Linked DNA regions of Coturnix japonica. The protein of the gene in region 1 purifies or fractionates together with the protein of each later gene. This does not show direct contact. Links are inferred from orthologs where the notes say so. Each region holds a gene or a part of one and is shown in the gene's direction. Other genes may lie near its edges.

Evidence for each region. Proteins that work in one complex are often made in the same cells at the same time.
Region 2: the proteins of CREBBP (region 1) and SMARCB1 fractionate together in Homo sapiens (co-fractionation; 3 studies listed by BioGRID, with this or other methods). This does not show direct contact. The link is inferred for Coturnix japonica from reciprocal best matches to the Homo sapiens genes CREBBP and SMARCB1.
Region 3: the proteins of CREBBP (region 1) and ATXN3 purify together in Homo sapiens (affinity purification with western blotting; 3 studies listed by BioGRID). This does not show direct contact. The link is inferred for Coturnix japonica from reciprocal best matches to the Homo sapiens genes CREBBP and ATXN3.

Annotation. Positions count from the first base shown.
Region 1 is NC_029529.1:11,012,032-11,015,710, reverse strand, and holds part of CREBBP (CREB-binding protein), read left to right. Parts: intron 1-605; coding exon 606-767; intron 768-1,031; coding exon 1,032-1,313; intron 1,314-2,687; coding exon 2,688-3,679. UniProt on the Homo sapiens protein: Acetylates histones, giving a specific tag for transcriptional activation. Mediates acetylation of histone H3 at 'Lys-18' and 'Lys-27' (H3K18ac and H3K27ac, respectively).
Region 2 is NC_029530.1:7,048,747-7,052,862, forward strand, and holds the start of SMARCB1 (SWI/SNF-related matrix-associated actin-dependent regulator of chromatin subfamily B member 1), read left to right. Parts: upstream 1-1,316; 5' UTR 1,317-1,423; coding exon 1,424-1,516; intron 1,517-2,722; coding exon 2,723-2,834; intron 2,835-3,331; coding exon 3,332-3,361; intron 3,362-3,971; coding exon 3,972-4,101; intron 4,102-4,116. Other genes in the region: MMP11 (stromelysin-3), read left to right, coding at 158-415, 631-764.
Region 3 is NC_029520.1:40,426,448-40,430,504, reverse strand, and holds the start of ATXN3 (ataxin-3), read left to right. Parts: upstream 1-1,257; 5' UTR 1,258-1,345; coding exon 1,346-1,369; intron 1,370-1,504; exon of another isoform or gene 1,505-1,525; intron 1,526-3,112; coding exon 3,113-3,277; intron 3,278-3,827; coding exon 3,828-3,872; intron 3,873-4,057. Other genes in the region: NDUFB1 (NADH dehydrogenase [ubiquinone] 1 beta subcomplex subunit 1), read left to right, coding at 726-762. UniProt on the Homo sapiens protein: Deubiquitinating enzyme involved in protein homeostasis maintenance, transcription, cytoskeleton regulation, myogenesis and degradation of misfolded chaperone substrates.

The DNA of each region.
Region 1 (3,679 bases):
TTAGCATTCAGTCTGTGTTCACTGTGGCCTGTGCTGTGACTTACACACAAGTGAAGGCATTGAGTGTTTGGTATTTGGGGGTTTTTTTGGCGTTGCTGATGCAGCAGCACATCTTCAGGGTGGGGTGAGACATGTTCTGGTGGTTTCACATCCTGCCTTTTCCGTGCATTAACTCTCAGTTTGTCGAATTGAAATTAATGAATTAGAACTTGAGTGTCAAGTCCTGAGTGCACAGCAAAGCAAACGGCTGCACTCACAGGGTCTGTCAAAGTCTGTTTTATTTTTAACACATTTTATTCTGTGTAAGACTTGCAAGGACAGGCAGTGGAGCTGAAGCGCGGGGAGAAGACACAACTGAATGTATGTCTGTGCATAAAAAGAAGTAAAAACCTGGGCTATTTTTAAACCACATTTGAAATCTGTTTCGTGCTGGGTTGGCTTTTGATTTCTGTCCTGGAAGATGGGATGTATTTAGCACAGTGTGGTTCATCTGCAGGCACTGGAATGAAGCTGCATTACTGACAGCAGCTGCACCTCACTTTGTGCTGCAGTGAACAGGAGAGAGCTCTGTAAAGCTGAACGTCTTCCCCGTGTGTTTCTTGCAGGGAAGTCAGGGTGACAGCAAAAACGCCAAGAAAAAGAACAACAAAAAAACCAACAAGAATAAGAGTAGCATCAGCAGAGCGAACAAGAAGAAACCCAGCATGCCAAACGTGTCCAACGACCTGTCTCAGAAGCTGTACGCCACCATGGAGAAGCATAAAGAGGTACCGTCAGAACGTGCAGAGTGCAGGGGAAGCTGGTTCCTGTAGATGGAGGTGGGGTGGTAGAACTGGAAACCAGGAGGAGCTAAAGCTTTTGGTTACGCTGAAGGTTTCTTGTAGTCGTGTAACAACATATTGGAGAGATTGCTATAATGGTGTCCATTAGATAATGGTTGCAGCGTTGTGTTTCTGCAACAGAACATGAGCTTTTCCTGTGAGATAACCTGACGTCGTTGATTTATTGCCCCTCTTCCCATTTATCTGCAGGTCTTTTTTGTGATCCATTTACACGCTGGGCCTGTCATTAACACGCTGCCCCCCATTGTGGACCCCGACCCGCTGCTGAGCTGCGATCTGATGGATGGCCGGGATGCCTTCCTCACCTTAGCCAGAGATAAGCACTGGGAGTTCTCCTCGCTGCGCCGATCCAAGTGGTCCACGCTCTGCATGCTGGTGGAGCTCCACACCCAGGGGCAGGACCGCTTTGTTTATACGTGCAATGAGTGCAAGCATCACGTGGAGACCAGGTGGCATTGCACTGTCTGTGAGGTATGTGTAGGTCACCTGGGATGGCTTCTCACCCGAGTCTCCTCAAAATTAAGCCTGTTCTGGTGTTAGCAATGTGAAGCTTTAAGGGAAGGCAACTGCCACTGTGGATCAATCTCTTCTAGAGTAGGTGCCTTTGTTTTTCTGGATGGGAAGCTGCCGTGTCCTAGAATGGTTACAGCTGAATTGCTGCCCTTGTCATCAAGCTCCTCTGCACATCCGGGCTTCAGCTTATCAAGACAGAATTTCAGGGCTGACTGACAGGGTCTGACACTGTCAGAGTAACCTGAATCTGCAGGACTGGCGTATCCATGTTGAATGGATGACCACGGGAGCAGTTGGCTCCATGTTGTATGTGGTGCTTGGCTTTGTATTGAGTGCAGCCAGGCACATGCTCAGGCTGCTGTGCAGCTGGGAAAAGGGGCTTCCAATTCAGCCCAGCTTTAGAGGTTTCTTGCCCTTTGGATCAACCCAAATAATTGCTTCCTAACCTGGCTCTGTACTTCTGATGTCTGGCCCTATTGCAGTGGAGATCACTTCTACTGAACTGCATTAGAGAGCAATTACACGTGGAGTCACACGGGTGGACGTGAGGGGCAGGTCTCCTCCATGGGGCTGTTGGTGACCTCTGGCTGCAGCTGAACTAAAAACTGTTGAGTAAATGCAGCCTCGTTCTCACACTGGAAGTTATTGCCAGGCTTGTGGTTGAAGAGTCTTAATTAATCCCTCCGAGGGGAGCACTGAAGAGGGCTTCTTGAGGCAAGGCTGGAATTAAGTGGTGAAAGGAAGTGTGGCCATTAGGTTTCTTCTGGCTGCTTCTGTGTGAGGGGAATTGTCTTCCTCTAGCAGTCAAATAAAGCACTCAGGGCAGTGAGAATGGGGTGTTTGAGGAGGTTTTTAGCTAAGTGTCCGTCTTGCCATGAAACTGGCACTTGCTTCAAGGGCTGTCTTAGAGATTAAAAAACACATTGCAGGTCAGGAATTAATTGTTAGTCAGTAATTACACCAAGGATAGTTAAATGGAGAGCAGATCCTTGGTTCTTAGCACTTAGGGTAGAGCTGTTTGCACTGTTTTGGCTCTCCTTGTGTAACTTGTCTGGTAGCCATTCCAGAGATGTAAAATTTACCATCATCAAAAAGGAAGGAAAAAACCCAGCAGACCAAACCCTGCAATGTATGGAAGCGACGGCACAGAAGCGGTGCCTGATTGCATTCTTGCCCTCAGTGGAGCCTGGGACTGTCTTGCTTCTGTTGGGCCATGTTTGTGCCCACTGTAACCCAGATGTGCTTCCACATCGGGTTCATGTTTCTCCTCCCTCCTAGTGCCGCAGGTAGCACTTCACAGGCAACTGAGCTCTGCATTTTCTTTGCTTTCAGGACTACGACCTCTGCATTAACTGCTACAACACTAAGAGCCATGACCACAAGATGGTTAAGTGGGGCCTGGGCCTGGATGATGAGAGCAACAGCCAAGGAGAGCAGCAGTCAAAGAGCCCCCAGGAGTCGCGCCGGCTGAGCATCCAGCGCTGCATTCAGTCCCTCGTCCACGCCTGTCAGTGCCGCAACGCAAACTGCTCGCTGCCATCCTGCCAGAAGATGAAGCGGGTTGTCCAACACACCAAGGGCTGCAAGCGCAAGACCAACGGCGGCTGCCCGGTGTGCAAACAGCTCATAGCTCTTTGCTGCTACCACGCCAAACACTGCCAAGAGAACAAATGCCCCGTGCCATTCTGTCTCAACATCAAACACAAGCTCCGGCAGCAGCAGATCCAGCACCGCCTGCAGCAGGCCCAGCTCATGCGCAGAAGGATGGCGACCATGAACACCCGAAACGTGCCTCAGCAAAGTTTGCCTTCTCCTACCTCAGCAACGCCTGGTACCCCCACACAGCAGCCAAGTACGCCGCAGACACCGCAGCCTGCTCCCCAGCCCCAGCCTTCCCCTGTAAGTATGTCACCGGCCGGCTTTCCCAGCGTCTCCAGAACTCAGCCCCCCACCACTGTTTCGACAGGAAAACCCACAAACCCGGTTGCGGCGCCTCCACCTCCTGCTCAGCCGCCACCGGCCGCAGTGGAAGCGGCTCGGCAGATCGAGAGAGAGGCCGCCCAGCAGCAGCAGCAGCTCTACAGGGTCAACAACATCAACAATGGTTTGCCCCCTGGTCGCCCGGGGCTCGTAAACCCGGCGGTGGGTTCGGTGAGCCAGATGCAGCAGGTCGGCATGAATGTACCGCGGCCCAACCCCGTCAGCGGCCCGGTGATGTCCAACATGCAGCCGGGGCAGTGGCAGTCGCCCCCAATGCCGCAGCAGCAGGCGATGCAGCCGGGAATGGCGAGGCCGGTGATGCCGATGGCGACGGCGCAAGCAGT
Region 2 (4,116 bases), on another chromosome or scaffold:
GGAGAACTGAATTCCTTACTCCCTTGGTGGGCATTCATGAACAGCTTTCCCTGGGAGCTCTGCCCAGGCACCAGCTCCAGTCTGCAATTCCATGCCAAGTTATCTGACATCTAAGAACTTCTGAACATGTGTTTCCCCTTTTCCATCTCCTTACCAGATTCTCAGTACTGGATTTATGACGGCGAGAGACGAGTCTCTGGTCCCACACCAACTGTAGAGCTGGGCCTCCCTGCTTCTCCCGTGCAGGCAGCTCTGGTATGGGGGACAGAGAAGAACAAGATTTACATCTTCAGTGGAGGCAACTACTGGCGCTTCAACCCTCGCACACGCCAGGTGGACAACATCTACCCCCGGACCATGGCTGACTGGCGAGGCGTCCCACAGGAGATTGATGCTGCTTTTCAGGATGAGCTGGGTCAGTGCAGCAGGGACAGGCCCTGCTCTGGGGCACGTGCTCAGGGTGATGCTACTTCCCACCAGACCCAGCTGTTACCACTCCCAATAGTGACAAGCCCAGCAGCTCTGCCTGCAGTTCAGCCCAGGCAGCAGTGCTGAACTGCTTTCAGTAGTACCTAGTGCAGACAGCTGAGTGAAGGCTGGCTCACTTACTCCTCCCTCTCTCCTCCACAGGTTTTGCCTATTTCCTGAGAGGCCGAGACTACTGGAAGTTTGACCCGGTGCAGGTGAAGGTTCTGGAAGGTTACCCCCGTCAGATCAGCCAGGACTTCTTCAGCTGCACACCGTCCTCCAACTCCTTCCGATGAAGGAGCATCCCCTACTTTTCCCTTCCAGCCCTGACCTCCAGCAGACACTGAGGGCTCTGCTGCCATCCCTGGCTCCTTCCAGGCGCAGACTGACACAACAGACGTGTCACAACAAGTGACAAAGTTTGCTCCTCTCCCGTTCCAGCAGCAGCCCCAGCTTTGGTCCCTGTACAGAAGCATCTGCCACATTCCTTACAGACACGAGCAGCCTTAATGTGGCCGGGCTGTTGTAGCTCTATCATCCCAAAGCCATCAGGCCTTGGAACGGGACCCCCCCCATAACACCGACCCGCCGCCATCACCCCCCGCGCTGTGAGGCCGCAGCCCCTCAGCCTGCCCCATCCCAGTGCTGGACACTGCCCATCCGCACGGTGCTCCCGGGTACAGAACCAAACCCGTGGGCGTCAACTTTTGTACGACGCGTATCAACTCTTTTTATATCTATATCTATATATACTGTGTATATACGTATCGATGTACCAATAAAGCGCCTCTTTTCTACCCGCCGCCCGACTCACTTCAGCGCCGGGTGGGCGGGAACGAGCGGGCGGGGCGGTGCCCTGCGCATGCGCAGAGCAGCAGCGGAGTAGGCCGAGGCGCTGCCGTTGTCGCTGCGCCCCGGTTCCCTCAGCGCCGCCGGATCCCGCCGGGCCGCAGCGATGATGATGATGGCGCTGAGCAAAACCTTCGGGCAGAAGCCCGTTAAGTTCCAGCTGGAGGAGGACGGAGAATTCTATATGATCGGCTCCGAGGTACGGACAATGGCGGCGGCCCGGGGAGGGGGGGAGGCGGCGAGGCGAGGCTGTGGGGTGGGCAGCGCTGTGTGGGAGCAGAAGGGCTTTGGTGCTGTGATACTGTGGGGATTGTGCTGTTAAAAGGAGCCATAACTGCAGGTTATCTGGCTATATGTGCCACACAGGGTACGTGGAGGAGGAGGGATCGCCTTCCAGCCCCCCGCTATAAAGTTACAATTAAAAATGGTCTGAAAGATGTTAAGGTCAAAATAAGGCCTGTGTGACAGGGAATGTGAGCCCCTTTGTGAACTATACACACTCTACAAGTACAGCAGCAGTTAAAAAACCTGGTCGCAGAGCCTAGAATTCATTGTGTTGTCCAGCGAACCCTGCTGGAGCCTGCACTGCTGTGTTGCATTGTGCTGAGAAGAGCAGAGCTGCTGTGCTGCTGGTCAGCGGGTTTGGAGAGGCACAGATCGCATCCTGCGTGTTCCAAGGGCTTAAAGTAGAGCACAAGGCAGCGCTGTGTGTGTCTGAGCCATCCACTCTTGGAAAGCAGTCCTGACAATAGCAGGACATGGGGAAATGGTTTTAAGTTGAAAGAGGGAAGATTTAGGTTGGATGTTAGGGGGAAGTTCTTCACTAGGAGAGTGGTTAGGCCCTGGAACAGGCTGCCCAGGGAGGTTGTGGATGCCCCGTCCTTGGAGGTGTTCAAGGCCAGGCTGGACGGGGCCCTGGGCAACCTGATCTAGTAAAGGTGTATGTTTGGTGGCCCTGCCAGGCAGGGGGTTGGAACTACATGATCCTTGAGGTCCCTTCCAACCCCGGGTCATTCTGTGATTCTGTGATCCCAGCGGTGTCTGGTGAAAGGGATGCTGCTGGAGAGCTGGGTGTGCAGCTCCATTAAATCCTTCCTGGACACTGTGCTGATGTAGCAAAGTCCCAAAAATAAACAAAAACTGATTTCTGTCAATGAGCTGGAGTTTCTTAGCAAACTAGTGAAATAAGTGCTGATAAGAGCTATGTATTGTGCCAAAAATTGTGCTTTATGATGCCAAACCTGATACAGTGAATTGTGAAAAGCAACAAAAAAAATCCTCTTAGGAGGTTATTTATGAGGTCACTGTTATTGTTTCATTATTGAAAATTTGTTTCAGTTTTTGATAATTCGTTTCTTTAAATGGAATACGTTTCCAGGTCACATCTTTGCTTTTCTTCTTATAGGTGGGGAATTACCTGCGTATGTTCCGGGGCTCTCTGTACAAGAGGTATCCCTCGCTCTGGAGACGATTAGCCACAGTAGAAGAAAGGAAGAAGATAGTGGCATCTTCACATGGTAAGAAGATGAGGAAATGCTCCCAGTCTAAATGTCTGCCTTGAAGAACTGTCTCTGTAGGCTCAGAAGCTTGTGTACCTTTAGGGCTTTGTGACAGCGTTCTGCAAAATGTGGCTGTCCTGGAGTTGGCTGCATTTATCACAATGCAAAAGACACACCTCAAGTTAAATACCATATTCCAGAAGAGATTTCTAGTAGCAAAGAGGGGTGGTTCTGTCCCTTAACACATTGAAAGGATGCTCATGTTCTTTATATGTTTATGACTCCCAGAATTTGCAGTGTGTTTCTACTGATGTTACCACCACAGTGAGAATGCAGCCACCTTGGTATTATTTTTGATGGGAGACTAATATTAAGAACTTATATTCATTAGCAGTGCAACTTGTCATGTGTTCCTCAGGCTAAGGCATAATAAAGATACGTGGTTCATTCTATACTTAAGCCTCCTTCCTCTAATATCCTGCTGACCTGTTGCTGATTTCTTTCTTTCCCAACAGAAAATCAGCGGTCTCACAGTCCAAGAAGATGTAAGTCTGATTTGTGTGTTATGCTTAGCTGTGCTACAGGAATAATCTCTGCCATGACCTTTGGCGTTATTACAGCATATAATAACATCTCATCCTCTGATCTCTCCCTGTGGTCATCCCATTGTGCATCCTCATCACATGCTGAACTTTTCTTTCTCAGAACATTAATGGTCTGTGCAATTCAGTAAGATCTGTCCAGTGGTTCTTCCCTTTTTCCAGGTCTTAAGAGTTTGTACTCCCTGGCTTAGCTTTCATTAGTATCTGATGTGTCTGCTCAGCCACTCGCTTTTCCATTGAGTGTTATATCTCCATTTCCACTATTAAGTCCACTGAGGATTTATAGTTTTCTGGACTGTGGAAAAGATTTTACATCATTGTGGCAGACTGTAGTTGTGCAGAGCAAAATGATGTGATAGTGTGGGGCTATTTAATGTAGGATTTTTTTTTTCCCCCTTATTACTTATAAGCTTATCTACTATTTACTATTTTAATGATGTGTTTTTTGCTAGTCCCACCTGCACTGACTCCACTTTTCACTGTTCAGCTTGTTTATGCCATATGCTATGTAATGCTTTTTCATGTTAACTATTAGCATCTTTCCTGGTAACAGATCATGGATATACAACATTAGCCACCAGTGTGACACTGTTAAAGGCCTCTGAAGTGGAAGAGATCTTGGATGGAAATGATGAGAAATACAAGGCAGTGTCTATCAGCACAGAACCTCCCACCTACCTCAGGTAACCTCAGTGTTG
Region 3 (4,057 bases), on another chromosome or scaffold:
CGCTTTCCACTTTCGCCTCTATTTGTCTTCCCACTAAAGCAATGGATTTTTGGATTGGAAGGAGTTAGATTTTTGCCTTTGGGGTCTCATGTAAGAAACACCATCTGTTAACTCAGCAGAGGTTTATTTATAATTAATGGTAGGACTCAATCCTTTGAAGCTTTGGGTCGTAAAGTAAAAGTTTAGGAGGGCGGGGGCTGAAGCACCTCCCCTATGAGGACAGGCTGAGGGAGTTGGGTTTGTTCAGCCTGGAGAAGAGAAGGTTGCGGGGTGACCTCATTGCAGCCTTTCAGTACCTGAAGGGAACTTACTCCCAGGAGGGGAGTAAACTCTTCGAAAAGGCTGATAATAGCAGGACATGGGGAAATGGTTTTAAGTTAAAAGAGGGAAGATTTAGGTTGGATGTTAGGGGGAAGTTCTTCACTAGGAGAGTGGTTAGGCCCTGGAACAGGCTGCCCAGGGAGGTTGTGGATGCCCCGTCCTTGGAGGTGTTCAAGACCAGGTTGGATGGGGCCCTGGGCAACCTGATCTAGTAAATGTGTATGTTTGGTGGCCCTGCCAGGCAGGGGGGTTGGAACTACATGATCCTTGAGGTCCCTTCCAACCCGGGTCATCCTGTGATTCTGTGTGATTCTGTGATTCTAGAATCATTTTAAATGCTTGTTAATTATCCCACACCATTTATCCTAATTTTAGCCTCCACCCTTTGTTTTCTTTCCACACAGGGAGCTGAGACCCGGCGAAGAAAAGACCTGGAAATAAAGGCTGCTAATGAATGGGGGAAACTTTCTGCTCTGTTCATCACCTGATCTCATGCATTGAAACAATATGGTTATGTTTTTTCTCCTGAGACCCTACCAAGCTACAGAATAGAACACCTACAGTTTGTCACTGCTACTTTAATTCCTATTGTTACTTTATGGAAGGTGATCTATTATAAAGCTGTTTTGATTCTGTGAAGCCCATGGAATTGAGAAATATCTGCCCCCAGAGGTTCCGCTCTGGAGTTGGGGGAGAAAAGACGTCATGTAATAAAGAAAAAAAAAAAAAAACTATGCAAAAATAATTTCCTTTTTTCTTAGTCTGTGTGGTGTGGAATTAATGCGTTTATAGGTGGTTTATGAGCTAACCGAGGCGGTACCTCACACATGGCGCTTTATTAACTCACCGCCACACGGAAGGAAGGACCGCACGTTTCCGGCTGCTCCAGAACTGCGCAAGCGCGTCGTGCTGCCGAGCTGCCCGGACCTCCCGCCGCCAGGGGGCGCTGCTGCGGCACGGCGAGGCGAGCCGCGATTGGCTGCGCGGGTCATGTGAGGCGGAGGCCGTGCCGTTGATAATAAACATGGAGTCGATCTTCCACGAGCGGGTGAGTGAGGTGTTGTGGGGCGGGAGCGGGGCTGCGCTCTGGGGAGGCGGCAGTTGTATCTCCCGGCCTTGCGCTGCTCTGGGGCTGCCCTGTTCCCCTGCCCCATCTCCGGCGGGGCTGCTTCTCGTCTGTGGCCGAGCAGGAAGGCGAGCAGCGGTACGTGGGGCGGGTTCCGTGAGCTCGGACACCAAATCTGCCCGCTGTGGGTGTGCGGCGCTGTGAGGGACGGCATCGAGTGCTGAGCTGAGCTGAGCTTCCTGTTGGGAGAACAAATGCTTCTGGAAACTGCTGTGCTGTGTCAGGGCTCACACGTAGCAGCTGCCTGCGACCTCTGTTGTTACACTACAGTGCCCTTTATCTGCTTTGCCGGTCACTCTGCAGCTTTGCTGATATTTTTGTATTGTTTTGTGGGATCTGTTTAGGTGATACTGGTTTCTGTCCGTTGTTCTTATGCGTAGTAGTTGGTTTAGTTAACAAATAAATAGAGTTAGCTGTACAGTTCAGTGGGTTTTTGTTGTTGCTTTTAATAAGTTATTACATCAGTACAGAAGGGCCCTTTCAAAGAAATTAGAGCCTAAACTTGTAACATGACTCATTTTAACAAAGTTATCCCAGGCTTGATTTGTTCCTAATTATTTCATATGCTTCTGGTGGAAACAATCTGTGACCATTGGCAGGTCTCAGCTGTGTCATGGGGCCAGCAGCAGGAACGTGCTTCCAGCAGGGCAGGAGTTGCTGTTTAGTCTGGAGTTTCTTTTTGTGGGATAAACACAAGCTGGAGAAGCTGTGAAAGATGAGACTTTTGAATTCCATTGTACTTAGGCTGTACAGCCTGTCCAGCTTGAACTCAATATTCAGTTGAGTGGTGGTACCTTCAGAAGGGATTGTAATCTATAAAGTTTCAGGGATCCTGCTGTGAGGGAGACCAAGGGAGATTTGTGCACCTGACTTGTATGATGGAAGAGTGGACATTTAAATAACATTCTTACAAGGCACACTCTTGTATTCTTTACTTTCTGTGGAGTTTTAATTCTTTGACAATTTTGTTTTGTTTCCAACACCTTTGTCCTAATGCACATTCTTAATGTTAATATAAACAAGCATTGATGCAAAGAGGAAAGCTGCTTTTTATAGCTGATGTTAAACTTGTCTTGCACTCGTAGGTTAACTAACTCGCCTGTTATTTTTTAGAGAGGGATTGTTTTTCATGGGAAACTGTAATTCCTCTTTTTGCAAAGTCTCAATGCTCTGTTTTTCTTTAGCCACATGTGGAAAGCAGATATTTCCCAAACCTCATAGGGAACACAAGTTTAACAAAGAAAAAGAGTGTCCCTTGTGGAGAATATTTGTTAATGGGAATTAGAGATTTAAAAAAGAAAAGAATGAGTTTCTTATTTCATACAGTGATGATTTGAAGGGAGCGGAATCGATTCTCCTGATGGTTGCAAAGTACTTGTGTGACTTGGACAAACTGTAGGTGATTTTTACCCTGTTTCCCAAAACATTTTCACTTAGAATTTATTTTCTTCCAGGAAATATGTTTGTTTTCTTTTCCATCGTCAGATTAATGGAACATAGGAATGTATTCTACAGCTCACACTGTAATAAAAATGGAAAAAAATACAGTATTCTGGGAAGTGGGGGCTGGAATGAAATCATTGAATGTTTCTGCAGAGTGCGTCATTAACATCTATATGTTATTGCTTTTGACATAGTGGTGTTTTTTTCCTTTCCTAATATTAGCAAGAAGGCTCATTATGTGCTCAACACTGTCTGAATAATTTGCTACAAGGAGAGTACTTCAGTCCGGTTGAGCTATCCTCCATTGCACAGCAGTTGGATGAGGAAGAAAGAATGAGAATGGCAGAGGGAGGAGTGTCTAGCGAAGAATATAGAACATTTTTACAGGTAAAATCTTAACTTGACGTTGCATGATGTCTTCTTAAAATCTAATATTGTATAGCAAAGGCCTGCTATGCCTGCATAATTACAGAAGATTCATTTTCTAGTGCTGATGTTTTGGAAGTTTGCTGATATTTTCATTCAGGCATTTCAGGTTTGAGGTTTTTAGTGTTATTTGTACAGCTTTATAGTGCTTCTACAGGGGGCCGTGTTACCTTATCTCCTCATCTTAAGGGTAAGATGGTTAGGCATGGCAAGGAGAAGACTAAGAGATTGACTGTTTGTTTTAGTAAGCCAGGGGTAGAGACGGTAACAGAATTCCCTGTACATGTCTGTCCTTTAAGCAGTAAGTATTTGCAGCTTAAAAGTTTGAGTTATTAACAAAAATGCAAATGTTGGTGTTGTAATCAGCATACAGAGTAAAATATATTTCATTGTTGTTTTATGTATGTACAGTCATATTATTATTATTATTATTTTTAAGTGAAATTCTTTCTGAACTTTTATGCTGACACAACTTTTAACTTTCCTTCCTCCAACCTCATATGCTGAGCAGCAGCCTTCTGTAAACATGGATGACAGTGGATTCTTCTCAATTCAAGTAAGATGTGCCCTAGACTGGCAATTTTTTTCTTCTTTATGGAATGTATGTGTTGTCATACAATTTAAATGACATTGACCTATTATCTAGTTTCTGTTTTATAGGCTTAATGACATTAATGGTTAGACTTGAATCTTGAATTACATTAAGAGCAGTGGTGACTTGTGTTTGTTCTTTAGGGTAGT